4 linked regions of the Lonchura striata genome follow. The protein of the gene in region 1 purifies or fractionates together with the protein of each later gene. This does not show direct contact. Links are inferred from orthologs where the notes say so. Each region holds a gene or a part of one and is shown in the gene's direction. Other genes may lie near its edges.

Region 1 (7,307 bases):
CAATTACTATACTGAACAAAGCACAGATAAGAGGAAGCAAAGCACACAGCAAAAAGAGAGTGTTGAAGGATAAATTTCTGTGTAAGACAATGGGAAGGATGAGGTTAAGGAGTTCTGGCTGTCACCATCTTATTTCACCTTGCCTAACTAGCTGTAGTTTCCTTTCAGAGCTGGCTAAACAAGAACAAAAATATTAATACAGTTTAGTCATTACGACATTATTAATAGCAAACAGAAAGGTGTACCATTAACACCCTATAGTGTGGCTATAGGGGTAATTCAAGTCTTCCTGAAATCAGTACACAAGTGTTATCTGCAGAACTATTACAGAGACTTGTATTTTGTTACAAGTATAGAAATTTATCGGAAAAGAAACCCTCCTGCTTTCCAGTTGGTCCTCAGAGGCGCTAGGTGCAGTTAGGTTTAATTTTTTTATTATAACCAATTCAGCACTGTAAGCCCAGCTGCATTCAATAAGATCCCACAGGCACCAATACAGTGGGTCTCATTCACAACCAGAGATTCACAAATCAACTTACCAATGAAACACTCTAAGTCTGGCTGGGTTCAGAAGAACTCACACAAATACAGGCTCACAAACAGTTGTGGAACAACAGACTGTAATTCTTACAGATTGGCAACTATGGATTCATTAGATGTGCAAAATATAAATATATAGTACTATGTACAAGTACTTCCAGGTATGTTCTAGAGGTGCAAATTTTACAAAAGAGGTATCCCAAATTTCGGGAAGGAGAGAGGAGTAAACTCTTGGACTTGTCTGCAAGGTAATAGTATTTTCAAACTCTGCCATGGAGGATTTCAAATACCAAATCACATTTTTTGGAGAAGTGGAAGTGAGAATGTAGTCAAATATTCTGTTAGCTGCTATCACAAAGGGGAGGGGTAGACCCTTTATACCTAAATGAGGAATAAAGAGAGCTATAAAAAGAGAGATTACAAATGCTGTATGTCTTAAGCAGGGGCAGAACAGGACTGTGACACCTAAGTGTTACTCCCTCTTCCAGCTGGATTGCAGTGATTAGAATCACCTACAATCTACAGATAAAATAACCTATCCCCCCAACGGCAGGCCAGCAGGCCCATGGTAATCCCTTCACCACATATCTCACACCAATCTCATTCCTACAATGTGTGAAGCTGTTTAGAGATAACAGATAAATAGCTATATCTATATATGTGAAGCTGAACAATCGAATCCATTATCACTACAAACAATACAACAGTGCTGGCACAGAGGGTGGGATTTTCCTGAACCTAAATACAGCAGCCAGCGAGGAGACCCAACTGAGCACAAACCTGCTATTTGACAAATAATAACAGGGGCAAATACAAGTCATACAGGAATTAATCTCACCACAAAAACTAGAGCCTGAATAATTTAAGTGGTGTCTAAAAATAATCCCTTACGAACTATATTACTCACCTAAGGGGAGTTGGTTCAAAGTTTAGCATACTAAAACCTCTGACTAAAAACTGTGTACTAAAAACTTAACTGCTTAGCTGTCACCTAAAAAATTAATTTCTTAAATGCTCTCTGCCTAGCTTTTGAAGTTCCACAGATATCCAGATTTGTATCCTGGGAATACCATGGCAGAGCTGAGCACCTTGACATGTATCTCCCACTTAAACTTATGCAGGATCCAGAAACTGTAAAGTTCTGAAGGCTGTGGTACAAAGAGATTTCTGGGAATGCTTCATCAGCCCACTAAAGATGATCTCCACCACTTCTGCAGAAATTAAAATTCTGCAAAAAATGAATTCAAGAAAGTCCAAATATTATCATGTCCATAGCCCAGTACTTAGAGAGGGCTGAGAAGTAGTACCCGCTTTAGAGAATTTGTTTATGTTTTTGAGGCAATTTGAAATAATAAGGAAATAATACCAAGTAGTAGGCAGAATAGAAAAGAAAACAACACTATACTCCAATTCTAAAGTTCTGAAAACCCAGGCAGGTGGTTGAACAAGGCAGCAGCAGCCTGAATGCTGGGCCGTGTGTGATCCTGCAGCAAAAGCAGCTCAGGCACAGCCTGCCCAGCACAGACAGCACTGCAGTGCCCACACAACATCAGCAATGAGAAGCACCGGAAAAAACTTCACAGTAAAAAAGCTGGGGCACAAGTGCTGGGTAAATGATGCAAACATTCACCACTGTGGCCTTCAAAGGGAAGACCCTTGGAGATAGGCTTTCAGTACAAATATTATAAATATCATTAGGAACATGGAGCTGGTGAGTACTCCCTTTGGCTCCTTTTGTGCATGTGGGATTGAGGTTGAGTTATTTGCACTCACAGCTGGGTCTGAAGTTGCTTTGGGATTGTTCCTGTGTACCTAAGTTTGTTTCAGTTTATCTCTTTAAATAGCAGAGAGGGGAGTTCAGGTTGTGCTCGTGAGAGTATCTTGCTAGCCAGCATGAGGCGATCTGAGGCTGGTTTCATGTACTCTACCTGACCCATCCCTAGCCTGATCTGTGTGGTAAATATATATCCTTGCTTTGGTTTATCTTTGGTGCTAGGCTGCCTTGCCTGGTAATCCCAGCTGTAAGGAGCTCCAAAGCAGCCAAAGTGAGCTGTGTGGAAAGTTCATGTGTGAAACAGGGAATGTCTGTGGCAGGGGTTGTCTCTATCTGATAGGAGACCTTCTTCCTCTTCCTAGGACTTGTGTGGACAGAAACCAAAGAGAAAAATAATTTTTTTGTTTCTTCCTACATCTTGAATGGTGTTCCACAAGGGTATGATGGCCTGCAACTTAGTTCTCTTTTCCTGCATGGTAAAGGGCACATGGATCCTTGATTTTCAACACAAATAGTTTTTAAACAGCATGCTGAATGAAATCTTAAGTTCTGCAGGCTTTTGTAAAACCTTGAGGTTTGTTTTTAAACCAACTCTCCCCTCAAAATCCTTCAAACCCTCTTATCTTTTTTTCTTGCGGAAGGAGAGTATAAACAACTGATGATTCAAATAGACAGAAGCACCAGACAGTTACATAAAAACAAACTGCTAGATCCCTGCATGTAGGAGTGTCTGCTCTCAATTCAGTCCTGCCTCTCTGTGAATGTGCCTGGAAGTAGGTCTCCCCACCCAGAGATGATAGCAGCTGGGATTAGATGCCCGAAACAGGGTGGTGAAGTAATTGATGATGTGGCCTTAGGCTGTGTAGAGATTCAAGCAAAGGGTCCTTTATAGCCAGGGCACCAAGTATTTGCAGTCAGATGTGGGAGAATAAGAGCCACAAAGTTTTAAATCTTTTCTACTTGTGTGAACAGCTTGAAAGACCTTTAAGTGAAGCTCTAGGGATCAGGACATATCCTGTCTTAGAGCTCTGAGTACTTTGGTTGCTGTAGACCTGAATAAAGGGGAAAAGTTATGGTGTAGAGAGAATTCTCATGAGAACTTTATGCCCTCAGCTCTACGTCCCATTAAATGTCTGGCTGTAAGAGTATTCATTGTGCTCAGGACCCTTCAATATCAAGGCAGAGGAAATACAAACTACAAACCCAAAGTGGTGGGTTTGTGATCAGGTTGGTAAACTGCATGACTGATCTATCTCGTCTTCTCTCTAAAGAGCTGCTCAGCCATCTGAAGGCCGAGGTCTCTCTCTGAGCTCACTGCATGCTCACAGATGAACAGTAAATCTCTCAGATAATACAGATTTACAGTGTTCTGGAAGAGCACAGTGAATTGTTACTTTTTTGAAGCTGAAAATATAGGATTAACCAAAAACAGCATCAGCTGAGCTCTGAGGTTAAATGGCAATATACTGAAAATGGCAACCCAAAAAAAAACCCAAATGGGTTAAGGCTTCATTTAAGGAAACACAGGCAGGGATTTTGAAGTGCCCAAGGTGAGGAAATTTGCACTGCATTAATTGTTACACTTTGAACATAATTAATGATAAACTGCTTTTAACTGTAGTTTGTGAAATATCCGGTGACACAAGGGTGTCTGAGGCTGGGTGGTCCTAGGTATTGGTGCATCCCCTGCTTATAATAGGGGTAAAAATAAAAATCAGTGCACATGTGTAGTGGTTGGCACTTCTCCAGCCCGGAATCTTGAGGAGTTCATGCGAGCTTTATTCGACGCCCCTGAGCAGCCTCGTGTCCTCGGCAGTGTAATAGCTCCTCATCCCAAACGCGGGACAGTGTCCTTCGGGCTGCTCCTGAGGCGCTCTGCACACAAAGCCAATTAACTCCACTGTGGAGAGAAAGCTTCGCCGGCAGTGCGGCGGCTCTGGAGCGACCCGAGTACAGCGGGACCTGGCGATACAGAACCCCGCGAAAATGAGTGGAGTGACTCCGGGCAGGGTCTGTGCCGCCGGTCACCCCAGGGAGACCCAACCTCAGAAGGGGGGGCCGCCGCCGAGGCGAAGGAAGCCCGCACACGGCGGGAGCCCCGACGGAGCGCGCCCCGCCGCCACGCCCCGCCTCGCACCGGCCCGTGAGGGCGGGGCTTCTCCGCTCCCCGCCTCGCGCGGCCGGCCCCGCCCCGGCACGCCATTGGTTGTCGCTGGGGCAGAGCGGCCGCCCCGTCCGCCGCCATTGGCTGGCGGCGAGGCCGGAGTTCCCGGATGTGGCCGCGCGGTGCGGATATAAAGGGCCGGGGGAAGGCGGGAGTGGGCGCAGTTTGAATCGCGGCGGGTCGAGTCAGCTTGGTGCTGTCGGCCGGGCTCGGTGCGTGCGGGACGCTCTCTGCTTCAGCCTTCCCCTGCGCGGCACTGCGCTCCGGTTCGCTATGGTGAGGAACCGCGGGGGTCGCTCTGGGGGTGGGCGGCGGTGCTGGGGCCGGGGCGGCTCCGTGCCGCTGATGGTGGGGGGGTAAACCGCGCGGGCGCAGTGGGGGGAGGGCGGGGGCGGCTGGGGGGCGAGGGGGTGGTCGCACGCGCAGTGGCGCCCCGGGGACGGGGGAGCGGTGGCCGCGCATGCGCGCGGGGAGCGGCCTGTGCCGCGCGGTGCGGCAAGCGGCGCGCACGCGCCTCGCGGCCGCGCGGGTGACTGCGCCGGGAGGGGGGGTGGTGGAGGGGCGGGGCGCATGCGCGGTGGGGGACGTCAGCGTCTGCTCTCCTCTTGGCATTGCTAGGCTGGTGGGAAAGCCGGGAAGGACTCTGGGAAGACCAAGACCAAAGCAGTGTCCCGTTCCCAGCGGGCTGGATTGCAGGTGAGCAGGGGCTGAAGTGTGGGTGAGTGAAAGTCAGGCTGGCCTTCATCTGTTGGTTTGTTTGTGCAGTGTGAAACCTTCACACTCTGCTGTCTGGCTGTTGCCTGGAATGATATAAGGATTGTAAAGCAGACATCAGCACACCCAGCTGGTTTTAGACCGTTGCATATCTGTGCAGGGAGGAAAGTAATTCCCTTGTGGCCATTGCTATGTTTGTGCTGAGAATCATGAAAGTTGCTTATGTGAGTTCGGCATGCAGTGTCTTAACTGTATTCTCAAGGTTTGAAATGCAGCCTGTGCTTCTGCCACTGGGATTCTGCTGCCCACAATGGGGTTTTGTGCAGAGCCTTTCTGTCGTCACAGCCTGTTCATACTTCCATTATTTTCCAGTTCCCTGTTGGCCGCATCCATAGGCACCTGAAGTCTAGGACAACTAGCCATGGGCGTGTAGGAGCCACAGCTGCTGTGTATAGTGCTGCAATCCTGGAGTACCTGACAGCTGAGGTAAAATGCTTGCAAGGGGTGCAAGCAAATTGATCAATCCCCAGAAGGCACAACAACCAGTGCCTACTGTATTTGACATTTTGGACTGGGTTGCGAACTCTTTGTGTGCTTTGAAGCACTTCTAAAGTGTCTCAAAAAGCAAAAGACCATGAAAAGTAACTCCTCTATATTTCATGCAAGCCCTGCAGCTTGCCTTGTAGGAAAAATGCAGTGTGTGAAATAACTTTTAAAATGGACCATTACAGCATGTCTTATCTGCTGTAGAAGACTTACTCTGTCATTGGGAAAACTAAATGTGAAGCTCCAAAGGAGGAACCCCTTGAAAAGAGACATTGTTTTCTGTTTTGGTGTTAATGGCAGTGACACTGTATTTGGACGAGAGAATTGAATAGCTAAGACTGTGCTGTTGGTCTCACTTGATTGTATAACTGTTGAAAAATGGTCTTGTCTCAGGTCCTTGAGCTGGCAGGAAATGCATCCAAAGACTTGAAGGTGAAACGTATCACTCCCCGTCACCTGCAGCTTGCCATTAGAGGAGATGAAGAGCTTGATTCTCTGATCAAGGCAACAATTGCTGGTGGTGGTATGTCAATACTTGCTGTTTATGGGTGCTTGGGTGGCATGAACTCTCACAGACTTGAAGTTCATTAGTGTTGTCATTTTATTGGAAGTGTGAAGTTTAGGAAAATTGAAGAAAAACAGCATGGTCTTAACTGTTGTTCTTTTTTAGGTGTAATACCACACATCCACAAGTCTCTCATTGGCAAGAAAGGACAACAGAAGACTGTCTAAAGCATACCAGGATTCCTTGTTATCTCAGGACTCAAAGTACTTAATTTGTCCAGTGTTGGTGATTCCAGTGGACTGTATCTGTGAAACACAATTTTGCCTTTTTTTAACTTTGAGAAGCTAAAGCTCCCTTGAGCTTTCTAACAAACCAAATTTCTGCGTTGAAGTCTTAACCATATTTAAGTGTTACCATGGCTTCAAAGAAGCTATTGTGTTTGTAGTGGGTTGTAATTGAGCTGACTGTTTTTAGATTGGCTTAAGTAAAGGAAATGTTTGGTTTTGTACAGACTTTTCATCTACTAGAGTGGAAATAATAAATGTTATGTCAAGACTGATTTGTGTCTTTCATTAACTGGAAAATCTGGTCTCCACTGTGCTGCTCTTGAAGTTGTTCTGAGAGCAAGTAACTGACAACCCTTCCTGCTGGGCTTGGGGCATCTTGAAATACAGCCTAAGACTACTGCAGCCAGTAAATGCCATGCAGTGAAAGTGCACAGGGCTTTGTCCTGTGAAGTTACATTCTTCCTAATTGAGCCTACTGTGCCATGTGCTGAAGTTTTCTTTAGCAGGGCACATAAAAGGCTGATGTTATTTAAGGCCAGTTTTAATCAGTGTCAGCCTTTGTAGAGGGTGAGGGTCTGTCACGGAGGAGGGTAAAAGATAAGTTTCAAGGGCTGTTTAAATTCCATGCTTCACATAATTTCATGTTAGGGTCTGGCCTCTTACTGTTTCAGCTTGCAAAAGCTTTGGCTAGACACCCACAAAAGCAGGGACTGTACTGCAGCAGCCTTTTAAATTGTGCCATGCAGCAAAAACCTCAGTAGTGGATTTCAGGGGGGG
Region 2 (7,633 bases), on another chromosome or scaffold:
AAAACAGGAGATGGGACAGGACTTATTTCCATAATCACTGAGAAAAAAAGATCCAGTTAGTAGAACTCTGTGAACTCTTGTTTCAGAGACACACCGACTTTAGAGACCTATTTCTACAAATTCAGACAATCCTTGACAAATTACCTGGCTTAGACCTGGCTGGTTCTACTGATTTATCATCACTGCAAGCCAGATTTCAAGCGGACTTGTTCCTTCCCCAGCTTTCTGTGCTGTTTCCTGCAGCATTGCCTGCCTGGCTGTGGCTGCAGTTTTGCCCCTGCTTCGGATCCATCCTAGGAAACAACTTCAGGCATCGCCCACACATTGCAGCCTAAGGCATGATGCTGCTGAAAGATGCTTGTGAATACCCTTAGCAAAACCAAATGCCAAAAAAAAAAAAAGGGTTCTAAGAGGATCTCCCAGACCCCTGAGTGGTTCTGTGCGTGTTTAAAGGAGCAGACGTGCTCCATGAAAATCTGCTGCCACCCACCGCCACAGCGACAGTGAGTGTGGCTGCGGTTCCAGTGCCAGCTAGGCAGGGTTACTGCTCCTCTGCTTCCCCTCTGCAGATCCTCTCTGCCCATGCTGCCTCTTTGTTATTTTACAAATTAATAGTTGTAGTTAAAAAAAATTAAAATTAAATGCCCCTGAGAAGAAAGGATGAGCTGAACAAGCCTAATCAAATGTTGAAACTGTCAAGGAAGGGAATTCCTTCTGGATCTGTCCGGACCAGCTGGGCTAATGGGACTTTAGTTTGCTGGCAGGTACAATCAGTAAAAATCACCTTCAGTAAAACATACTCTGATGTAGGCTTGGGCTAGCCAAGGATTCAGGAATTGATCCTTGTGCTCAATGTTCAATTGAACCTTGAGCTTGTTCATTATAAATCCACTGGTTCGTCTTTCTGCCTCTCTGTAAGCCTGGGGTATGATGGATTTATCAAACTGAAAAATCAGTAAATGGCTTTTCCTTCTCCAATCCCCTCTGTGCTGGGATATTTTAAAGCACAACAGCAGCAGTAACAAACGCCTCTGTGCATGCTCAGAGATAATTATTTGCACTGTTTTCATCTACTTTGCCAACGTTTGCCATCTGATGCCCACCTAATATGAAGCTTCTCTCCGCTGGGAGAACGAGCACAAATGATCACAAGGGAAAAATTCAGTTTGGGAACATATGTTGGAGCAGAGTGGATCCCCTGTTTGACAGCTGCTGCCCTCAGCCTTGCTGCTTCACCCTCATTGTGATTTAAATTCCCTCTTTTGCACCTGTAAGAAGCCGTGCAGAGCAGATCTTGAGAGTGAATTTTCCATTCAATGTCCTTGTTTAATATAATCTAATACACCTTTAAGCAAAGAAAAAAGGTAATTATCTGGAAGAGGCAATGCTGCTCTAAGGGGCTTTGTGATAAGACTCTAACAACAGACTGCTTTATCTTCTAATAGGGAGAAAACCATCCCCATATCAAACTATCTTCACTGATTTATTAAATGATATGTAAAATAAACAAGCTCCAAGTTTTGGACAATTCCCTGGGCAGCTCTGTTAAAGCAAATTTTCCCACAGATTTCACACTTAAAAAAAAAATGGATTCTGAAAGTACAGCTAAAGCTTACAAATCTCATCAGAACTCTCTCTTCAGGAGGTCCTCCTCAGTCATAAAGGGTATTTTATTCAGAAATACTGGAATGTGCCAAGGTATGGAGGTTACTTATTTTGTAGGAGGACTTATGGATCTGAGAGGAATTTGTTGCAGGAAGAAGCTCCAGAAAAATGTACTTCTGCATGTACTTCTTACCTGTGTAAGAAAAAACCTGTTAGACTCTCTATTCAAGAAGTTCTAAACCACCCCCAGAAAAGGTTAAAAGATTTGGTTTAATGCAAAAGTAGGCAGATGATACTCTTTTACAAATGTTCATGAGGCACACCAAAAGTTACAGGATTTGGAATTAAATTTTTGCTTTGTTAAGGGCACTAGCACATGGTGTTCTAAAATAACGACAGAAATAGTTGTAGCCATATTGCTTATCCCAGAAATCCAACACTTCTAGGGAGAATGCCAAATGCCAGGCAGATTTCTCAGTTGTTGCAAAGTCTTAGGAAATTACTGATCATCTTCTGGTGGGGGAAACACTGATCCAGCCAAGGGCTCAGCACCCTTAGGTGACACAACAACCAGCCAGGTTTTTTAAGCAACCTAAAGAGTAGGGAGAAAAAGGAAGAAATAAAATCATGCACTTCTTACACAGCCCTTATCTGCTTAAACCCAAAAGTAGAATTTAAAGTTGAATGGGAGAAGTGCAATTTTTTCTGAAAAATCTGTTAACTGACTGGGAAAAAAAACCAAACACACACACAAAAAAAAACCCAAACCAAAAAAAAAACAAAAAAAACCCACAAAAAAACCCCAACCTAGTCAAATTTAATGAGGGAAAAAAATAAACTCTGGTCAAGATCCAGGTGGAGGCTGTACGTAGCATTATTATAGGCTCCCATATGTTTCCTAGAGGCATTGAATGTGACAAGGGAATTTAGACACACAGAAATTATTTCTGATTGAAACAAAATAGCAGCCAGTTTGTGCACATACTGCTCCTGTTGCACTAATATTATTGTACTGAATTGAATTGTTTTCAGATGCTGTTTTATTTTCAGAGGTAGGCATCAGTTTTTTCATACTCTGTTTCATGTTACTTTTTTTAGCCATCAGAAGTTAGTGACATAAAAATTGCTGTCTGAGTTGACACACTTATTCCCTCTTGATGTCTTTAAGTAGGAGCATAATGTGACAGATGAGTGCTGAAACTCAGTGTCTCACACAGGCTTAAAAATAAGTTATGCCTGCAAAACTTTGAAAACTGTTCTACTGGGGAACAATTTTTACACTCTGAAAATTTGCTTTCCTTTCTCCCCTCATACAGAAACATGTATGAAAACAGGGATTTAGTTGTGCAGGAGATCATTTCCTCCTGCTGTGCAACCATCACAGGAAATCATAAGCCTTTCTCTCAGTAGCAGCTGAAGACCAGGCAGCAGTGTAGATCAAATAAAAACTGGAAGATTAAACAGGGCTGAGATTTAGGGCTGGGTTTAACTGCAAAAACATGAGGAGCTGTCTTTGAGATTTGCAAAGTCCTGTGGATAGGTAATTTTGGTTCAAAACGAGGAAATCGGTGTGAAGCCTGAGCTGTGTGAAGGCAGACCCAGCACAGCCAGGACACAGGTACAGCAGTGACAGCAGGCAGAAGGAATAATCCTGAGATTCCTGTGGTCTTGATGCAGAGAAGTTGTTCCAGCAAGATCTCTGCTCACTCTGGAGCTCTCAGAGAAAGCTGTTCCTGGAGAACTTCAACAGCATCAAAGCCAGACTGGAGTCACAGAATCCTTTCCATTCCAAGAGGCCAGAATAAACCCCACTGGAAAAGAGGATTTGTATCCAGGCATCCACATCCAGGATTCACACAACAAAACTTCTCAAGGCTTCACACATGAGGTTCTGGGCTTAATTTATTTCAAATGTTTATTTAATGTTAGATTAACCTGTGTGGGGTATTAACTACATCAAGCCCAAAACAATGATACGAGTCAGCTCTTTGGGTATGAACAGGTACAGAAAGTTCAATTACAGAAAATTGCATATTTCCCTTCCTGCTTTTTATTATTTGGATAATTTGCATGAAAATAATATCTCTGCTTGTGAGTGTTTGCCCCCACTGCTTTATTATTCACTCAGAACACTCATTCCTTGCATATGACGCGATCGTTATTTGCTGTTGAAATATTTTTAATGTCACAAAATGGATTAAATCTTCAAGTGAGGAGTGAGCAGTTGGAAAGCCCTATCACCTAAGCAACAGCAGTCCTATTTCATGCTTGTGTGTCTAATTATACTTAACAAGGCAAAAACCCTTTATCGCCGAGGGAGTAATACGTTCCCTTTCTTCCCAAACATTTTTTTTTTTTTTTACATCTTAAAAGATGGGCAAAGCTGGTAGGTTCTGCATTTTGTAACCAAGCCAGGCACAGTTATTTGTTAAGCATCAGCGCCAGGTTGGTATTTGATATAAAACGATCCTGTTGTGTCAAGGAGCAGTCAGGGGGGTTGCAGTGCTTGGGACATCCTTCACCGTGGCAGCTCCTCGTGCCAGACAAGGACAGGCCATGGGGATAGATGCTGAGCTGGCCAAGACCTCACAGACCAGGAGGGGAAGCCCTGGGGTGGCCGAGGCAGCCGGGCTGACCGCCAGCCCAGCCGCAGGGCTCTCAGAACGCAGAGCCGAGCCCTGCGGAGCCCACGGGCACTGCAGCGCGGCCTGACACAGCAGCGCGCTCCCTCAGGCCCTTCCCAGCGCTCCCTAACGCTGCTCCCAGAACCCCGCGAGCCTCCTGCCGGGCAGAGCCGCGGGCTCGCCGCTCCTCAGGGCCGCCCACCGCCGCTGCCCGCCCGGTGCTGCCCGCCCGCGGGCTCCGGCGCTGCGAGCGCGGGGCTCCCCGTCCGGCGGAGCCCCCCCGAACCTGCGGGGCCCCGCCGAAGCTCCCCCGCCCCCAGCCCGGCCCCGGCGCGGCCGAGCCCGGCTCCCGGCCGGCAGGAGCCGCTGCGGGCGCGGCGCGGCGGGGATGAGCGAGGCGGAGGGCGGCTCGGCCGCCGCCGTGGAGAAGCCGCCGCTGCCCGCGGCCGGGCCCGGGGCGGCCGCGGCGGTCGCTGCCGCTGTTGCGGCCGCGGCGGCGGCGGCGGCCGGCCCGGAGCCCGGCGCGCCGGCGGAGGAGGCGGCGGTGGTGTGGAGCCCGGAGGTGGAGGTGTGCCTGTTCCACGCCATGCTGGGCCACAAGCCCGTAGGTGAGCGCGGGCCGCGGCCTCCGGGAGCGGCGGGGCCGGGCGCGGGCTCCGGGCGGCCGGGCCGGGCCGCGGGGCCGGCGGGAGGGAGCGGCGGGCCCGGCCGGGCCGGCGTGCGAGCGGCCGCGCTGCGCCTCCACGGCGGCTCGGAGCGGGCCGGGCGGCGCGGGCCCGGCTCGGCAGGGTCACCGCAGAGCACGCGGCGCAGCGCCGTGTGCCGGCCGGCCTGCGATAAATCCAGCGAGGGAGGCTCCGCAGCCGCTCTGGGCAGTGTGTTCCAGTGCTCGCAGTAATGAGGTTCTTGCCTGTATGCAGGTGGAGCTTCCTGTGCATCAGTTTGTGCCCGTTGCTTTATGTCCTATTGCTCTGCACCACTGAGCAGAGCCTGGATCCATCCTCTTGGCACCCCCCTTTTCAGAAACAATAATTCATAAACATTGTTTGAGATCCCCTCTTAGACATCTCTTCTGAGACTGAACAGACCCAGCTTTCTCTCCTTTTCATTGTCAGAGGGATGCTCCAATTCCTTCTCTCAGTGCAGCCACACCAGGAGCTCTGTGTCTGTATTGCAGTCAGGAGCCCAGAACTGGGCACAGCACTCCCTATACATCCCTTGGGATGTTTCTCACACAGCCCCTCTAAAAACTCTGTGTGTGTTAGAATTAGCCACAGGGGCACCCGCAGCTCCCTAGAGAACAGCACCTGCAGTGTAGGGTGAAAGATCAGCCAACCCCGCTGCCAGCTGTCTCTCCTGTTAATGTATGGATTCCTTGTAACAACATAGCTTTTTTAATTCATAAGTAAATAAATAAATCTCTTTATATCTCTAAGTATCATAACTAAAACTGTTAGCAGCGTTAATTGCACTGGGTTCTTCCCCCCAGGTGTGAATCGCCATTTCCACATGATTTGCATCCGGGATAAATTCAGCCAGAATATCGGACGGCAGATCTCATCCAAAGTGATCTGGGACCATCTGAGCACCATGTATGATATGCAGGCTCTTGTGAGTATATAGGGTTGGTGCTGCCACATGGTTTCATGGAGTTCAGAAGTTTTGCCAGGCCAGAATCACTGGGCCTGTCATGGTACTTAGAATTAGGTGTCATTCCAGTGAGTTGATCGGGTTTTCCCTGAATAAAAGTAGATTAGGTAGGAGACAATAAAGCCTGCAGTGGCTTTTTTTGGGTTTTTTTTTGATACCATGTTCTGACTTTGTTTATTAAAGTCACCTAAATTCTGATCCAGAAAATGTTGATATACATTTATAAGTGTCAAAGGAGAATGTTATCATTGTGTACATAAGAATTTGCTATGTTTGAGTTCCAAAAATGATCTCAGATGATGGTGAGTTGTGATCTTAGGTATCCTGACCTCAGTAATCAGTTTGATATTAGAAGCCTCCTGATTTTCTAACATCTGAAGTGTCTTGTTAAAAATTATATAGCTCCTAATTGCATGTAAAATAGAACTTGAGATTGCATGTCAAAATTCAAATTAAAGTCTTTACCAGTCACTCACAGAGATCCTTCTTTTCTTTCTAAGCATGAATCTGAGATTCTTCCATTCCCTAATATAGAGAAGAATTTTGCTCTTCCTGACGAAATGATTCAAGAAGTGAGAGAAGGTGAGATGTGATTGCAGGCTCTGATTCTTGGTTGCTTTATTCTCATCTCAGAATTTTTAACAAAATTCCCCCCAGAAAACATGTATTGTCAAATCTAATAGAAATGTACAGGAGTTTGACAGAAATCTCAGGTTGAACAGCGAGAGAAGGATTTTGAAATTTAGCTGATGTGTGTTATACAAAGTAAGAACTAGAAAATTCAAGCACCTGCCAAAGACTTCTTGGGATATTTTAAACTTCAGTGGAATGCTTCTCAATTATGAGGTACATTAAACTTTAAAAATTCAGTGAAAAATCTTAGCACAGATAAGACATTGCAATATGTTTTGCCCATGCAGCATTTCACTTTCTCATGTTAATAATAATTTCCTGGCACTGAATTATTGCTGAGCGTTGCATGGACTATTTGCAAACATACAAATATGCAGAGGCTACTAATCCAGAAAAAATTCACGTGGTTCTTTAAAACCATCTAACTAATGCTAACAATCCTTTCTGTAGGAAAAGTAATGATGGAAGAAGAAGTGAAAGAGGAAGTTTTAAAAGAAGAGATGGAAACGCATGCAGGTCCTGAAGAAGGTAATTTTGTAACTCTCTACTGTGTAATACGAGATTAAAAACCAACTGTAATTGAGAAATTAATGTTAAAATGTAAATCCAAATGCAGTGTACTGTGTGATTTGTACTCAGACTTAGCCTGTGCTCCTGCTAAGAACTTGACTAATAGTGCACAGAGTAAGCAGCTGCTTATTGAAAAGATTTCTTTTTTTGCTCCTAATTCATCTGTACAAAGTTGTATAGCTTTGGAGATTTTTTGCTTTAATATGTACTTGACAAACCCCTGGGAGTCTGAAGGAATCTGAGGATCTCTGGAAGAAAGCTGAGTCTGATTTTTTTGAACTTAAATGCTCTGTGTTTGGAACTTTGTAGTCATGGGGGAAATAGGGCCTATAAATCAAAAGAGATTGTAAAATTGCGTGCTGAAATGGGAAGGTGGGCAGAATGCTTATTTTATTTTATTCTCATTATCTTGCTGCTTTTAAATAAAAGGCTTGTTTTCCTAACACTTCGCTGTAGAACAAGTCAAATGTGAACAGTAGAGATCCTGCTATTTATCTTAACAGACCAAGCCAACTGCTAACTATATAATTTCATCATATTTATATCACTGA
Region 3 (7,459 bases), on another chromosome or scaffold:
AGTGATTGCAATTAGTGTTGGAATGGCGCTGTCAGTCCCTGAGATTTAGTTAACCACAGCACACCAGTGGTTAATTTGTAAATAAAAAAACATATGCATGGTTACGAATACTCCCAGAAAACTGAAGTTGCACTTAACAACATTTAGAAATGCAGCCATGATTTCAGATACAATTTCAGTACACTTGGACAGAGCTTTAAAAGAAAATGTAAAGCTCTGCTGTGCTGATGGCCTAAGATTTGCTGTGTCACGCAAGAGGGAAAAGCCGTAAATTGGCACTGCTGATGGTCATCCTAACTTTAGGTCTAGAAATGCTGGAAGGTAGAAGAAGCATTGTTCTAGGAGTTTGGACATCACTGACCCATGCTGATGTGTGAACTGCAGCTGCTGAAGCATTGGATTCTAGTTCAGTTTCTCTAAGTGACAGAGGGAGGAAAACACAGGCAGCATCACACTTTCTTCCTGGGTATAGAGAGACTAGAGCGTGGCTGTAATGGTACTAAGTGCACCATGCCACCCAAACCCACCTTCAGCCACAGGCCTACGAATCAAACTCTGTTATCAGAAGCCATATTTACACTGGCTTTCTTCCTGATGCTGCAAGGGCATATATACTGAGTTCCTGGAGAGGTACAGGCTGTGAAGCCATTTTCCCCATTTTACCTGTAATCTGAAGCACCGTGATGTTTCTTGCAATCGGCCGACACAACCAACAGTTTTTGTGAGTCACCCAGACAGACACGGGGAAAGTGCCAGGGAATTGACCAGTCACATTAATTATGGAATTAAACTGCTGCTCTGATTTCTCTATCAGAATCAGAGGAGCATAAACCCAGTTAAAGTGATACCAGTTTGATGTGACATTTTCATTCTTCATTCTTAGCCTGGCCTGAACAGTAGCTTGAGCTCCCGTTGTGATGGGACCATTGTTGGTTATTTCCAGACTATACAACTCTGTGGAAAGCAGAAGAAAATGAGTAAACCAAACCTTCTTGCATGGCATTTTAAATTTCATTTATTTAGCGTTATCATACATTTTAGCTAGTCAGCTCTAGTTATATAACTCACAATGACACTCATCCCAGAAAAGACTCTACCACCATAATTTTTTACTGTTTAAATATTTGGAACAGAAACAATTGCATGTGTATATGAGTTCAAATAAATAGCAGTTAACAACATGTCAGACTGGGTCCTAGAAATGTTCATAGTAGAAGACAGCTTCAGTCTAGAACATCACAAAAGCATTGATGAGGTTTTATACCCAGAGCTGGGTGCTGGCTGTAGGTTCATTGTCACTAATGATCTAACATGATCACTAGATTTCCAGCTACTGGAAGAGGCTCAGTGTCCTAATCTCTGTCCTAAAAATGTAAGCTTTCAAACTCAGGTGAGATTTCATTCACTAGATTCCTTTGCCAGCTCTATTGAAAAGTTTATATAACTTTCCTCACAAGTAAGCATAAAAAAACTCAGTAAAAGCATTTTATGTGCTATGGTCCACCTTAAATTTCCTTTTCCAGGGAAGGACCAAAAGTCCCAAGGCAAATAAAAGATGTACCATGCCGTAGTGGCAGATCAGTTGCTGTCCAGAGGGACCTGGACAAGCTGAAAAAGCGGGCCCATGGGAACCTTATGGGGTTGAACAAGTGCTGCATCTGGATTGGAGTAACACCTGATATTCAGTACAGACTGGGGGATGAAGGGATGGAGAAGGACTTGGGAGTACTGATGGAGGAAAATGTGGACTTCAGCCAACAATGTGCACCCAAGAAAGATATGAGGCTGCATAAAAATCAGCCAGCAGGTTGAGGGAGGTGATATTCACAATGAGGGTGGTGAAACTCTGGCATGGGTTGCCCAGTATAAACATTCAAGGTCAGATTGGACTGGGCTCTGAGCTACCTGATCTAGTTGCAGATGTCCCTGCTTGTAGCAGGGGCTTGACCTTGATGACCTTTAAAGGTCTCTTCCAACCCAAACCATGCTCTGATTCTATGACACATCAAGTCATGAGAATGCAGGACCTGTGATACTGAACCAGCTCTGCTGCTCTGAATGACTCACCATTATCTTCTCTGCCATATTTACTCAAATTACTTACTTCAGATCTTGAACTACTGCAATAGACAGTGTTGAGTTTTGTGGAAAGAATACATTAATTTTTTTTTTAATAGCAGCGCAGAAGCATTAAAGAATATGCATGTGTTAAAAAAAAAAAAATCAACCCCCAAGCCCCGAAACAAAAATAAATGCAAAATAGCTGTAAATTGGGACAGAGTTGGGAGCAGAGCAGAGTTGGGATCTGGTTGCTTGCCTCCAACGTGGAGCATGTCACTTCCCTGTATCAGAGTTCTGCCTGGCTCTCCTCTCATCAGCAGTGCTGGGCAGAGCAGCAGAGCTGGAGGGTTCTAAGGCAGATGCCTTTCATTATCCTCTCTTTCAGCAGCCACCAGACTGCTACCAGGGACCTGAATCTCTGACCTTTAGAGACTGTATTTCTCACTCATCCATTACCTCTAATATGAAGGGAGAACTGGGGCTAGCTAACTCCTACACTGGCTTTTCTGCACCCATCAGCTTGGGATGGGATGAAAGAGATGGCATTTGTGCCTGCATTTTATTCTACAGATCACAGGTGTTGAACAATTCTGGAGGCAGAAGAACTGTGAGAAATGAACTTTAACACTACTGTCTGAGAAAAAACTCCACTGTTCCCATTTTACAGCACAAGAAATGGCCCTGAGTTCCATTTTCTCAGTTAAAAGAGAAATGCTTGTGATTTGATGTAACCTGGCAGAGGGAGGTTTCCTGTCTCTAGAAGATTCAGGCTATGTTCCACTTGGTTTCAGCAGAATTTGGGAAAAAAATAGCCGACTACCTCATGCTTATCTAGCACTTCTCCTTGGAGGTTATCACGGTGCTTTACAAATCAGGGCCACACTGGCCCGACAGCTGAAGCAGCTGGAGGTTCAGTGGCTAAACCAAGGTCACCCAAGGAGTGACTGGCACATCAAAACACTCCATCCAATTCAGGGATTTCTCCTGCCTTTCGGACCTCTCTGCAGAATGGAGCTCTCCGAGTCCCACAGGCGAGGGACAGCAGCTGCCCAGGTGCCTTGTGACCCGCGGCGCGGGGTGAGCGGGGGAAGCAGACGTGCAGCTTTTGGGTTAGCAGTGCAAAGCAGACCCCCGGCTTCCCGGGATGCCCCCCCTTCACTGCAGGCACCAAGATCGCAGCGCCGGAGAATAAAGTCTGGGGTGGTGGGAGCGTGCCCAGAGCTGCTTCCATCCCTTGTCACATCTATCAGGCTCGGGCAGGGAACCACTCCCACCCGTGATGCAGCTCACTCCTGAGGTCTGTGCCCTCTCCCCGAGCATCCCGCACCCCTCGCCCGCTCCGCAGCGGCGATGCCAGCGCAGACCGGCGGCTCCTTACCTGCGGCCGGGGAGCGACCGCGGCCGAGCTGCAGCAGCATCAGCAGCATCAGCAGCGCGCGGAGCAGCCGCCGCATGCTGGCGGCCGCGGGGCCCGGCACCGGGGCCGGCTCTCGAACCGGGAGCGGTCTGGGCGCGCTGGGCCGCGCTGCCCCCGCGGCGCTGCGGCTCCGGTGTCCGCGCCCCCGGGACGCTCCCCCGCGGCGGCGCCCAGCCCGCCTCTGCCGGGGGCAGTTCCTGCGGGATCGCGCTGCCAGCGCCGCCGGGGCCAAAACCGCCGGCGGTTTAAGCAAATGGTCAATAAAACCCACAAATGCCTCGCATCTGCTCAGGGCGTGAGGACATCCCGCAGCGTTTGGGAAGGGGTTTGTGCTGCGCCTTGGTTGCGGCAGGCACAGATAAAGTATTCCAGTGCGGCAGCGCGGGGATGCCTCTGCCGGGGGCAGCTCGGCCGCTGTTAGCGGTCCCGCGGCGCTCCGAACGGCCTGTAACGGGTGCGCTGCTGGAGAGAAGCCACAGCAAAAGCGCCAGAATGTGGTTTACTAGTGTGCTTTTTCTGTCGTTCTATTTTGTTTTTTCCTGTTTTGTTTTGTACATTTTGGTTTTGATTCGCTTACTTTTATTTTTTTTATTTTCTTAAACTCAACATCCGAAGCCCTTTCTCGCTCCGGGCCGCCGTTCTGTTTCTTGCGGCGGATCAGCCTTTGCGCGCTTCGTTTTCCGGCGGTGCCGCCGCTCCCCCGGGGCACCGGCGGGGCGGAGTGGGCCCTGCGCTGGCCGGAGGCACCGGTCACGGCCGGTAAATCCTCGCCCGCTCTTACCGGAGGCCACTCAGCGGAGCCTCGGGGGACGCGGGGACGGGCGGGGCTCGCCTCAGGCAGCGGCCGCCGGCAGCGCCCAGCCGGGGCGAGCCCGCCGGGGCGGGGCGGGAGTCCCGGGTCGGCGGGGGTCGCGGGCGGCGCGGCGGAGCTGCGCGCCCGCCTCCGCCCGGGGAGAGGCGGCCCCGGCAAGAGGCGGCCGGAACTGAGCTCGGCGCTTCCGTCGCGCCCATGCGCTGCCGGCGGCCTCCGGGAGCAACAAAGGAGGGAGCCGGGGGGCCGCGGGCGGGCGGCCCGGGGAGCCGCGGGGTGAGGAGCGCCCCGGTGGGGCCCGGGCCTGGGCGCGGTGAGCGGGCCGGGGAGGCGGGGCCGGCGCGCTGCGGGCGGGAGGCGGCGGCCGAGCCCCGCCGCAGGCCTGGGCCGAGCGCGGCGCCGGGGGGGCTGAGGGGCGGCGCGGAAAGCTCCGCCGCGGCCGCTGACGGTGCCCGTGTCCGCAGGGCGGAGATGGGCTCGGCGTGACGGCGGCGGGGAGCGACCCGGGCGAGCGGCGCTGCGGCGGGGAAGGTGAGGGGCGTGGGGTCCCGGCTGGGCCGGACCTGGCCTGAGCAAAACTGATGGGGAACCCCCAGGGGAGGAGGGAGGTGGCCGGTTCCTCAAGCTAGATGTGATGTGGGCTTCTTTACGAGCGGGACAGGCAGCTTGTGGGGCAGGAGAGCTGCTGGCGGCCCGGAGCGAGTCCCCAGGGTGTGTCCCAGGGGAGCTGTAAGTGCGGCGGAAGGCAGGATGCTGACAGGTGTGCGCGGTGGGAGCATCCCTGAGCCTGCAGCCTGCTGCTGCGAGAGAGGAATCCGAGCGGAACACGTCAGTGTTCGTGCCGAGGAGAGCTCAATAACCCTTTTATCTGTTACTCCTGTCACGATGAGTCCTGTACATGCTTGGTGTTGTATTTGTAAGCCTAAGCAAAGGTTACAGTTTTTGGAAAAGGTGGTCCTCTTCAATATGTCAGAAGAATGGATGCAGGTGATGGGATAGCTGCTGTTAACAAGCCATGTAAACTGACAAATAATTCTATATTCTTTTACAGGCGTCTTGATCTTGATTTTATGTACTGAAAGCTGATCTTTACTCCGCCAAGATGGCATTTGTTTCAGCACAAGGGCCCACAGTGGTGGACCAAACCACTTTGATGAAAAAATACCTTCAGTTTGTGGCTGCTCTTACAGATGTCAATACACGTAAGAGATTTTTTTCTTCTTGAAAAGTGCAGCTCTTCAGTGGTTTGTTTCACAAGTGTTGCCAACTTGTTCAGACAGTTGATGAAAGAGACAGTGAAATCTGTCAAATTAACTTTGAAATTTGTTTGAGTTTTGGTTTTTGAAGAAGCAAAATGATGAGAAACACTTGCATGAGCCGAAGTGAGTGAGTTGTGTGTGTGTGTGCAGTCGTGTGTGCTTGTTTGAGAGAACTGTGTGTCTTATAATTGGGCAGTGATAGCTAAACTGATAAGATCTGATTGCTTCTTTGATCAATGAGTTTGTTGTTTTCCTTCATGGCCTAGTTTTACACTCACATTTTTCGGCTTGAATTTCCATTTTCAGCTGATGAAACCAAATTGAAAATGATGCAAGAAGTCAGTGAGAATTTTGAGGTAAATAAAAAGATAATAACCCCAAGCAACAAAACTCCTACAAAAACCCCCTAACTTTCTGCAATGGCAGCCTTTCTTATGCCTCATGCATATTAATTGAATTTCTGATGTTATGCAGTTAAAATATTAATAGTAGCATCCTGTGGCTAATGATATGGTTACAAGTCATTGATTCTAGGTTTGTAGTTAGGAATGAACCAGGCTGTTGAAGAATTGCATTTGGGCTTAGTGAGCTTTCATTGCCAAATATTTATTTATTCATTAAGCATTTAAATAAAAGTGAAGTAAGACATTTTTCTTCTATTTTTTGAATGCTATGAAATGTCTGTATTTAAAGCTTTCTTTTATTTAGTTCAAATGTGTATTGTGCTCTTGTGAAACAGAGGCCCTTCTGATTCCTCTGATTATTCCATGGTGTGGAAGTGAGAGAGGAGTTGTTAGATGCAGAATCTGACATCAGGAGTGGAGATGTCTCCAGTGACATCTTTTGCATGGTGGTGGACCATCTTTTTAGATGAGCAGCAGAGAAAATGTGAAAGTTAACCCAGCCTCGTGTTAGCAGAAACTATTCTTTAGTTGAATTCTTAATTGTTATGTGCCTGTTCTGAAATTACAGAAAACTAAAATCATACTTGTGGGGTTTTTTATCTGCTTAAGCTATTTCTAAAAAAAATTATCTGATGAAAATAATAGTTTTAACTGCTTAGTCTGGTGATCTGTTAGAATCTGAAGACTTAATTGATTCTCGTTGCTCTTCCCTTCAGTAGGGAAGGACTTGTATTTGTTTTGCTAATGTTCACTTGGAGCTCACATGGTTCTGTAGTGTCAACAGATACTTAGTCACTGAATCTATTCAGAATTCACGGAAAACGTTTAATAGTGGCTTTGAATGTAACTGAATGTAATCTATGTGATGTCTGTTTTATAACCCCTCATTTTTTGTTCTTAATTAGAATGTGACATCATCCCCTCAATATTCGACGTTCCTGGAACACATCATCCCTCGGTTTCTCACCTTTCTACAGGATGGGGAAGTTCAGTTTTTGCAGGAGAAGCCAGCACAGGTTAGTTGTGTGGAGCATCTCTTGCCTTTTTGCTGTGAAGTTCTGATTAACCTAATGAACTGATTTAAGACTTGTTAAAAATAGATCTGTCATTTGCAGTGGAACTGAGAAAGTCAGGTTTCTAAATAAGTTACTTATAAACTTTGCTAATCTGGGCTTCTGTGAAATAGGAGGAAAAGTAGGTGTAACAGAGTTGGCTTTCTTACTGAAATATTACACATCATTGCAAATTACTGACTTTACTGAAAGTTAGGAATGAAAGGAGAAAGTTGAATCTTTGTCATTAAATATTTAAAATTGCATTTCTTAAAAAAAGTCTGATTTTACAACTGTAAATTAGTTAAATTTGCCTCTTTCACATAGGTGGATAGTAGGAAGAGTTATGCCTTTGTATATGTCTACATGAAATAAACTGGCTTTTTTTCTGTTTTCGCATGCACAATTATTAAGCTGAAAAAGATGCTGCAACTAATTGTTGGGTTTTGTTGGCT
Region 4 (7,670 bases), on another chromosome or scaffold:
TGCCTCCATCTTCAGAAAAAAAAAAAAAAAGTGAAAATAAACGTGGAAAATTCGAATCTGACTATCTGATGTCTGGCAAAGTTCTGAGTAACTGAAAACAGACTTGTGATGGAAAATATCGAGTAACCTTAGCTATAGGTGTCAGTACCAAGTATGTGATGTTTTTTAAAGCAAACAAACCAGCGAAGCGCACACAGATAGAGATCAGCCGTTCTGATTTCCAGGGGGCTGAGCAACCCCCAATCCTCTCTGTCTCTCCCCCACCACAGTTGTGTGCAGCCAGCGCTGCCTGCTGCACCGTGCACATCTGGCTGACACGGTGCGGCACGGCCACGCTGCTCTCCCTGCCCCCTCCTTCTCCTGGCAAAACAGGAGACGAGGCTCATGACGAGTGCCGAGCGAAGTCTGAAATGCTCTTCCCCTAACGGGAAGTAGACGCAGAGTCACGCTGGCGTATGGGCAGCCCTCACCTAGGTGGCTGTTTAGAGAGTCGATCCTCCATTGACAGTAGGATGTTCTCAGAAAAGGAGCACATGTTCTTGACCTTATTCTGGTTGTATGCTCCAAAATCCTCTGTGTGCAAGTCTCTATCTGTCTCTTGTTCCAGTGGCATTTGTCTACTGAAGGAGCAGCTCCTTGGACACGACAGGAAGGGCTGTCTTCTCTCCACAAGATGAAGAGACTTTCCTGTGTCATTTTCTGACAAAGTAAAAATACTTCCATTGGGTTAAACAAGTAAGCTCATGCTTTTCTTTGAAAAAGACCTCACTCAAACTAAATAAGGGGGGAAAAATAGAAGGGGGTGCATGATGAAGAAAACAACAATGAAAATTGGTCATTTAGATTTCCTTAGCTTGCCATGGAGACTTTGTAGAAAGCTGGGAGTGGATAAGTGTATCCTGGGCAGAGGAAAAAGCTTTTGTAGTGTTGGGGGAGACTTGCAGAATCCAGAACATTTACTTTGGCTATTGCTGGGGATACAGAATTCTCACAAGATAGTTTAAAATGGGGGCAGGGAGACTTGGTTGTTGAAGAGACACAGATTCTGGGACAATACTCAGATACTGAATGAAAGTTTGAACCTTTTCCTTGCTAATTCCAAAGTAAAAATTACCTATCTCAGAGTTCGATACCCACTCTCCACTCAAAAAAATTATCTAGGGCAAAATTCTCTGCTTTACCAAAGAGAAAATAAAGGGCAAGGCTTCTCAGAAATGCTGGGATCTTCAGGGTTCCTTTGCAGAAGTGGCAAAACCTTAGTTCAGTCATGGCAAGCCTCAGTATGATCTGGAAAGCTTACAGGGCTGCTGAGTGGCAGACATGAGAAGTAAGACCATCCATATTAGATACAAACAGTCAAAACTAGGTTAAAGGAAGAGGTGAAATGTAGCTGCAGCCTTTTCAGAACAGCACCACATTCACAGGTACATCGGGGGCTGCCAGTTTTACGCAGACACTGAAAGATATTTTTCATGTTACTGGTTGTATGTAACTTGACAGTAGAGATATTACAGACTGGCTGGAGCAACCCTCAGTCTGAAAAACAGCAAAAATGAAGAGAACAGAAGTATGGCTGTGTCCCAGCACACAAATGAAGCAATACAGTGGCAGCATTGCGGTGCCCAACATCTAAACCCATCAACCCGTCTGAATTGTTATGGAACGCAAGAGGAACTGACAAAAAATAGCCTGAAAGACCATAAACCGATCTTTCAGATCACATTGTCTGCAGCACCAGCATGGCAAGCTTGTAGTCTGTTATCTGTGTCCCACATACGAACGGTCCATGCTAGGCTGGAGAGTCTCCCCCTTTCCAAAATGCTCTGGGGTTCCTTCCTCCCTTGCGTCCACACTGAGCAGCACTGAAATACACAGGACTGAATTTTCCAGCCTACAACCCTGAGTTCCAGAGTGAAACAATGTAAAAAGCTTTGTTCTTCTTGTTACCTTGGGGAAAGATGTTTAAAAGGGAACATAAATGAAAAGTGAAAGTGAGAAAGGGCTGTGGGCCTGGTAAAAGCCTGGACAGGGGCAGCTGCCCACAAGGTAGAGGAGGATGGGGCAGGACTCTTCTGGGTCTCGTGCAGGGACCTGAACCCTGACTAACTTAGACCACACAAAATGACAGACATTATTTAGAGGTCACCCCAGCTTGTTGCTGGGAGCGCAGAGTACAGAGTCCACTTTACCCAGTTCTTGGAAGCAGAGCTGGGCAGGGGTGTGTGGAAGGTCCTCTGGCCAGTTTGGGTTTCCCAACACGGGCGCAACACCAAAGCAAGATGTTGCAGGCATTTTCCCCATGGGAAGTATGCTGGGGGGTTGTTTTGGGGTGTTGACACCCATCAGCACAGGTAGGGTAAGATTGAATTACACAGATCTTACTGTAATTGTTTCCAAGCCAAGTGCTATAAACTCAAAAGATTCAATTAAACTGGGTAAGTAATTGAACCACAGTAAGGTATGGCAACTTCCAAGTTTAAAGCAGCCAAATAACTGGAAATCTATCTCATGGAAATCTATCCTTTCCTCATCAAAGGAAAATATTTAGAAATATATATATATTTAATCCATTTAATTTACTTGGCCCTCACAAACAGTAGAAACATCTTGATCATAATCATGTATATCCCATATGGAGTTTTTGTTTTGAGGGAAAATTAAGATTTCTGCTGACTAAGAAACTTCAAGTTAAAAAGGAAAAAAGGAGTTGGAGCTGAGGTGGGGAACCTTGGGTACACTTGGGATAAAAATGTACTAATTTGTCATGCAGAGAAAGATTTCAGGGAGGTGGTGGCTCATTGGGAATGAGCCTTCGGAGGCACTGGGGCACACATTGCCTAAAACCATTAGCAAACAGCCTTCTTCAGACCATAACCATGCTGGCAGGAGCCTTGGGAATCACCTGCAGAGAGCCCCAGCACCTGACTCCCTTTGCAGGATCTTCATCTTCATCTGCATCACACCTCTCCCCTTGTGGCCAAGCCACTGGGGAAAGAGGCAAATATGGAATTCATGGGCACTGGTCGGTGCTGGGCTGCTCAGCTCGGGAATTTGTCTGTCTGCCTGGCTCCTGTTAAGAGGGGATTGTGTCAGCACACACAAGAGGGAATGAGAAGTCCTTGCAGAGATCCGTGTGAGTTTGGTGGTGGTGTCGTCCACCACACGTTTCTGTAGCGCTGGATGGTCTGCTTGATCTATGCGAAGGATGGAGCATCTCTGGAAGAGCAGTGTGCTCTTTCCTACCACTTTTCCTCCATGGAGCTGAGATAAATGAGAGCATCATTGTCATGTGGGCAAAGGTATGTACAGGGATAGTACAGGGTGCGTGCTGCTGATGGCTGGAGAGGTAGGTGGGATTTTTGTATGTGCAGGAACATGGATTACACAACAGCCTGTTGGGATGTATTGGTCTAGTCTTTGCTGAGAGGCGGGAACAAGGGCACGGGAGGCGCAACTCGTGCTGTGGAGTGGCTGCACACGTACTGTGCATTGTGGAACTCTGCGGGAGCACTCAGTGGAGATGGGCACATGGATGTGGTGGTGGAGCCTGGTGGTATCTCAGCAGAGTTGCCAGTGCGAGGCGGTGGTCGGAGCCTTCATGCGCAGGTAAGGGAGAGCTTGCCAATAGCCAGAGCCACTTCGGCACACGGCCGAGGGGATGGGATGGCGTTATGGAACACCTGTGTGCGTGGATGTATTTTCAGTGAGCTTTAGCAGACAAAGCCCGGCTTGTGTTGCAGGATCTGTAAGCGACTTGTTGCTGTCTGTAAACAGCCAATCCTCCTCTTGTGTTGCGGCGTGTTTCGCTGTGGCGGGACGAAACGTGCACATGCACCACCAGGCGTGGGACAGCGGAGGCAACGAGCGCAGTTGTTGACACCCACACATTTTACTGGGAGAGACGGACAGGACTGCACCTCTTTGTTGAGATTAATAGTGCTATGAAAATGCTCAGCGGAGGATAAGGCGGCATTATGGGATGTGATTTTGTTTAATGGGAAATTAATGATACAGTTGCATGTGTATAATTGGAGTATACTTACACCGAGGGACCGTTCCCGTCTGTGCAAATCTATGCGTTTCCTGGTGGAGGCTGCAGCAGGGAGCAGGGTGCTGGGTGACAGGGAGGAATGCGGTACATGGACATGGCGTGTATCACAGAATCACAGGATCAGTTAGGTTGGAAAAGACCTCTGAGATCATCAAGTCCAACCTTTGGCCAGACACCACCATGGCGCTAAGTGCCACATCCAGCCTTTTCTTAAACAGCTCTGGGGATGGTGACTCCACCATTTCCCTGGCAGTCCATTCCAATGCCTGATCACCCTTTCCATGAAGAAATTCCTCCTGATGCCCAACCTAAGCCTCCCCTGGCACCGCCTGAGACTACGTGCTCTCGTCCTGTCTCTAGTTGCCTGGGAGAATGCGGATCTCTGGGGTAGGGAGTTCTGCAGGTACCAGCAGCCAGGAAGCCTCGGGGTGCAGGGGAGGCACCCAAGTCACTGCGGGCTCCCCGCACACAGGCTGGCGGTGGCGGTGACCGCCGGGCACGGATGGCCTTGGAGGGGTCCTGCGGCCTGGCGGGCGGAGCGTGCGGGCTGGGGCACGGCAGGACGTGGCAGGGAAGCGAGCGGGGCGCTCAGCCCCGAGGTCGGGGGCGGTCGGCGGTGGGAGGGCGGTGCCCGGAGCCTGTGCCCGGGGCCGGTGCCAGCGCGCAGGAGGGCGGGAGGTGCGCGGCGGCCGCGCGGTGCCAGGGGTCGGCCCCGTGCCCCGTGCCGGAGCGGGGGCTGGGGCGGCGCGGGCCCCGCGGTGCCGGCAGGGCGGGCGGGGGGCGGCGGCGGAGCCCCGCGGGTGCGGGAGCGGGGCGGGCGGCCGCGAGTATTATGGGATGCCGGGCTGGACGGTGACTCCCGGCGACTATTATGGGATGCCTGCCTGGGCGCGAGGCGGGGGGGGGGGGGGGGGGGTGAGGGGGGAGGTGTGACTATTATGGGATGTGCGCGCTCGGGGTGTGACTATTATGGGATGTTCCGGGGGGGGGGTCCCCACAGCGCGCGCTCCCCGCCGGAGGGGGGACGCGCCTATTATGGGATGGCAGCCCCGGGAGGCGCGGGGGGGCGCCGTGCCCCGGGGTCCCGCGCGGGGCGGGGGGCAGCACTGTGGGATGTTCCTCGGCGGGGGGCAGCACTATGGGATGCGGAGCGGAGGGGTGCGAGCCTGCGGGAGTATTATGGGATGTTTCTCGGGGTGAAGGTGCGGGCGGGGGGGGGCGGCAGTATTATGGGATGTTACCGGCGGGAGGGGTGGCGATTATTATGGGATGCCGGGCCGGGCAGTGAGTGGGAAGTTCTGAGGGGAGGGTGAGTATTATGGGATGCCGGGGGGGGGGGGGAAGGGGGGGTGTGTTTGCCGGGGAGACGGGGGCGGGGCCTGTTGCCGGGGTCCTGGGGCATATTATGGGATGTAGGCGGGAGGGGGCGGGGCCTAGCCGGGTTTTTTTCCCCTTTAAGAGGCGGTGCCGCGGCCGGAGCCATTTTCCCTTCAGCGGCGGCAGCGGCGAGAGAGGAGCCGGGGTCCGGAGCCGGGTGAGGAGCCGGGAGGGAACGAGGGCGGGCGAGGCCATCTGCCGCCTCCTGGGGCGTCCGGGCCGGCAGACGCGTCTCGCCGCCGGCCGCCCCGCCGGCTCCGGCCGCGGCTTCCCCGGTTACGCGCCGTTCCCCTGCCCGGGCGGCCGCAGCACGGCTCCGGCCCCTCCTCCCGCCCCGCAGCCGCCTCGCCGGTGCCCGCAGTCCCGGCCTGCGCCGGCCCCGGGGCACGGCGGCCCCTCGCCGCACGCCCGCCGGACTTGCCCGGCCCCGCCCCGCGCCCCCGCCCGGGAGACGGTGCCCCCCGCCCCCGCCCTGCGCCGCGCGGCCCCGCTCCGGGCGGGGGCGGCGAGCGGGGCGCCGAGCCCGCCCGGCCTTTTGTGTGCGGCCGGGCCGGCGCTGCGGTGCCAGCCCGGGGCTGCCGGCCAGCGCTCCGCGCTGACAGCCGCCGCGCTGCCCCCGGGGCTCCCTCGCGAGCCCGGCTGCCTTGCTTGCCCCTCTGCCCGCTCCTGGCTCAAGGCAGAAACAACCGAGGGCACCCGGCTGCAGAGGACGGGAGAGTTTTCCTTTAGGACAGCTATTTTGGCTTCCTCGCCAGCGATGAGTTGCTGACTCAGTTTAATATCTAGTGTCTCCAAAGCCTGCTTTATCACAACTCTAAACTGATACTTGCTGCCAGTGATTCTGTTATCCATAGGCTCCAAAGCCAGTAAAGTTGCTGTCTAAGCTTTCTCACAGATCCTCTTAGTTGCACTATTGCTCGGGAGAACGGAGTTCAGGTTTGCTGTAACTTTCTCTTTTTCTTTTCAATGAAGTACTGGCCAGGCTGGCAAGAAGACGACAGAAAACCTGTGTAAGCCCAGGCCTCCCGCGGTGTGGAGGACATGGCTTCGGGCATTGGATCTCCATCACCGTGCTCAGGGGGCAGTGATGATGATGAGATGGAGATCCTGTTGAACAACGCTATCCCCCAGCATCCAGGTATGGGGGGGCCTGCAGGGCATGCATGTGCAGTGGGGATAATGTTGGTCTCAAGCTGAATATGTGAAGTGTGTGATGTGTTGGGGAATGCAATTTTTTTTAAATTTTTTTTTTGTTGCAAGTCACACGTATGTTTTTGATTTCTGAGTCCCAGGGTTACTTTGAAGTGAGAGGCTCGAGGCTTTGTGTCAGGTGGAGCTGACTTTGTTCCAAGCCATTGCAGGCTGTCAGGGCCTGTGCTTGGAGGAGGTGTAGAGGGTGGAGGCAGAGCGTCCAATTCTGACCGGGGTACCAAAATGCTTTCAGTTTTCATGAATGGGGAGGGGGTAGAGGAGGTAGTATGTGAAAGGGCAGGTTGCCTGGCTTGCTTTCATCTGGGAACTAAGACCGGCTGACGTCCAGAGAAAACTGCCCTGGGCTGTTGCGTGACCCACTTTCCTTCATCACCACACCCAATTATTGAGGATTCTTACTCCGTGCTGCTTGCTCACCTTTGCTTTTTTTTAGTCCTTGTATTTTGCTTTTCCCCTTGTATTTGCATCCTCATCATCAACATGAGGCTTGAGTTAGAGCCCTGGAATTTCTTCTGGTTTGCGTTTTTTTTCTTGTTGCTGCTATTGATGACCTGCTCTGTGGACATGCATCTGGATTCTTCACTTCCTTGTGAAAAAGGAGTGATGTATATAGTCAATTGTAGGACAAGTGTGGGATTTCCTACTAACTCATGCTGGAGTGTTTTGTCATATATGAGAAATGTAACTGGAGGAGGGAAGATGGTGCTGTGGAGTTTTGAATTTTTATTAGTTTGGCATTTTTTTCTTAAGCCTTGTCTCTTGAGTTTTCCAGCACCTCTGAGATCTTGGGCAGTATGGGACTATCAGTAGTGAAAATCTATTTGCAAAAAAACTGGTAAAATCACTGCAAAATTGAGAGGTTGAGGGAGACCTTGGAAGGGGTGGGTCATTAGAGGCTCTAAATCAGAACTTGGGGGAGAAGGTGTGTGATCCTTGAAGGACCTGGTGTTGCAGTATCACGGGAGCAAAGATACATCCATTGGTTGGGAATATGGCAGGGATCAGGCGTGGGACTCCAGGTTCTGAGACC

What was found.
Region 2: the proteins of H2AZ1 (region 1) and MRGBP purify together in Homo sapiens (affinity purification with mass spectrometry; 4 studies listed by BioGRID and IntAct, with this or other methods). This does not show direct contact. The link is inferred for Lonchura striata from reciprocal best matches to the Homo sapiens genes H2AZ1 and MRGBP.
Region 3: the proteins of H2AZ1 (region 1) and TRRAP purify together in Homo sapiens (affinity purification with mass spectrometry; 3 studies listed by BioGRID and IntAct, with this or other methods). This does not show direct contact. The link is inferred for Lonchura striata from reciprocal best matches to the Homo sapiens genes H2AZ1 and TRRAP.
Region 4: the proteins of H2AZ1 (region 1) and CHD4 purify together in Homo sapiens (affinity purification with mass spectrometry; 3 studies listed by BioGRID and IntAct, with this or other methods). This does not show direct contact. The link is inferred for Lonchura striata from reciprocal best matches to the Homo sapiens genes H2AZ1 and CHD4.

Annotation. Positions count from the first base shown.
Region 1 is NC_134606.1:49,664,603-49,671,909, forward strand, and holds H2AZ1 (histone H2A.Z), read left to right. Parts: upstream 1-4,640; 5' UTR 4,641-4,751; coding exon 4,752-4,754; intron 4,755-5,096; coding exon 5,097-5,174; intron 5,175-5,564; coding exon 5,565-5,678; intron 5,679-6,131; coding exon 6,132-6,261; intron 6,262-6,408; coding exon 6,409-6,470; 3' UTR 6,471-6,802; downstream 6,803-7,307. UniProt on the Homo sapiens protein: Variant histone H2A which replaces conventional H2A in a subset of nucleosomes. Nucleosomes wrap and compact DNA into chromatin, limiting DNA accessibility to the cellular machineries which require DNA as a template.
Region 2 is NC_134619.1:5,558,606-5,566,238, forward strand, and holds the start of MRGBP (MRG/MORF4L-binding protein), read left to right. Parts: upstream 1-4,617; coding exon 4,618-4,837; intron 4,838-5,718; coding exon 5,719-5,840; intron 5,841-6,379; coding exon 6,380-6,461; intron 6,462-6,962; coding exon 6,963-7,040; intron 7,041-7,633.
Region 3 is NC_134618.1:11,371,516-11,378,974, forward strand, and holds the start of TRRAP (transformation/transcription domain-associated protein), read left to right. Parts: upstream 1-4,449; 5' UTR 4,450-4,565; intron 4,566-4,753; 5' UTR 4,754-4,820; intron 4,821-5,340; 5' UTR 5,341-5,391; coding exon 5,392-5,491; intron 5,492-5,632; exon of another isoform or gene 5,633-5,776; intron 5,777-5,854; coding exon 5,855-5,904; intron 5,905-6,857; coding exon 6,858-6,968; intron 6,969-7,459. Other genes in the region: TMEM130 (transmembrane protein 130), read right to left, coding at 664-954, 3,440-3,515. UniProt on the Homo sapiens protein: Adapter protein, which is found in various multiprotein chromatin complexes with histone acetyltransferase activity (HAT), which gives a specific tag for epigenetic transcription activation.
Region 4 is NC_134604.1:29,474,613-29,482,282, reverse strand, and holds the start of CHD4 (chromodomain-helicase-DNA-binding protein 4), read left to right. Parts: upstream 1-4,660; 5' UTR 4,661-4,729; intron 4,730-5,238; exon of another isoform or gene 5,239-5,253; intron 5,254-5,510; 5' UTR 5,511-5,585; intron 5,586-6,400; 5' UTR 6,401-6,469; coding exon 6,470-6,566; intron 6,567-7,670. UniProt on the Homo sapiens protein: ATP-dependent chromatin-remodeling factor that binds and distorts nucleosomal DNA. Acts as a component of the histone deacetylase NuRD complex which participates in the remodeling of chromatin.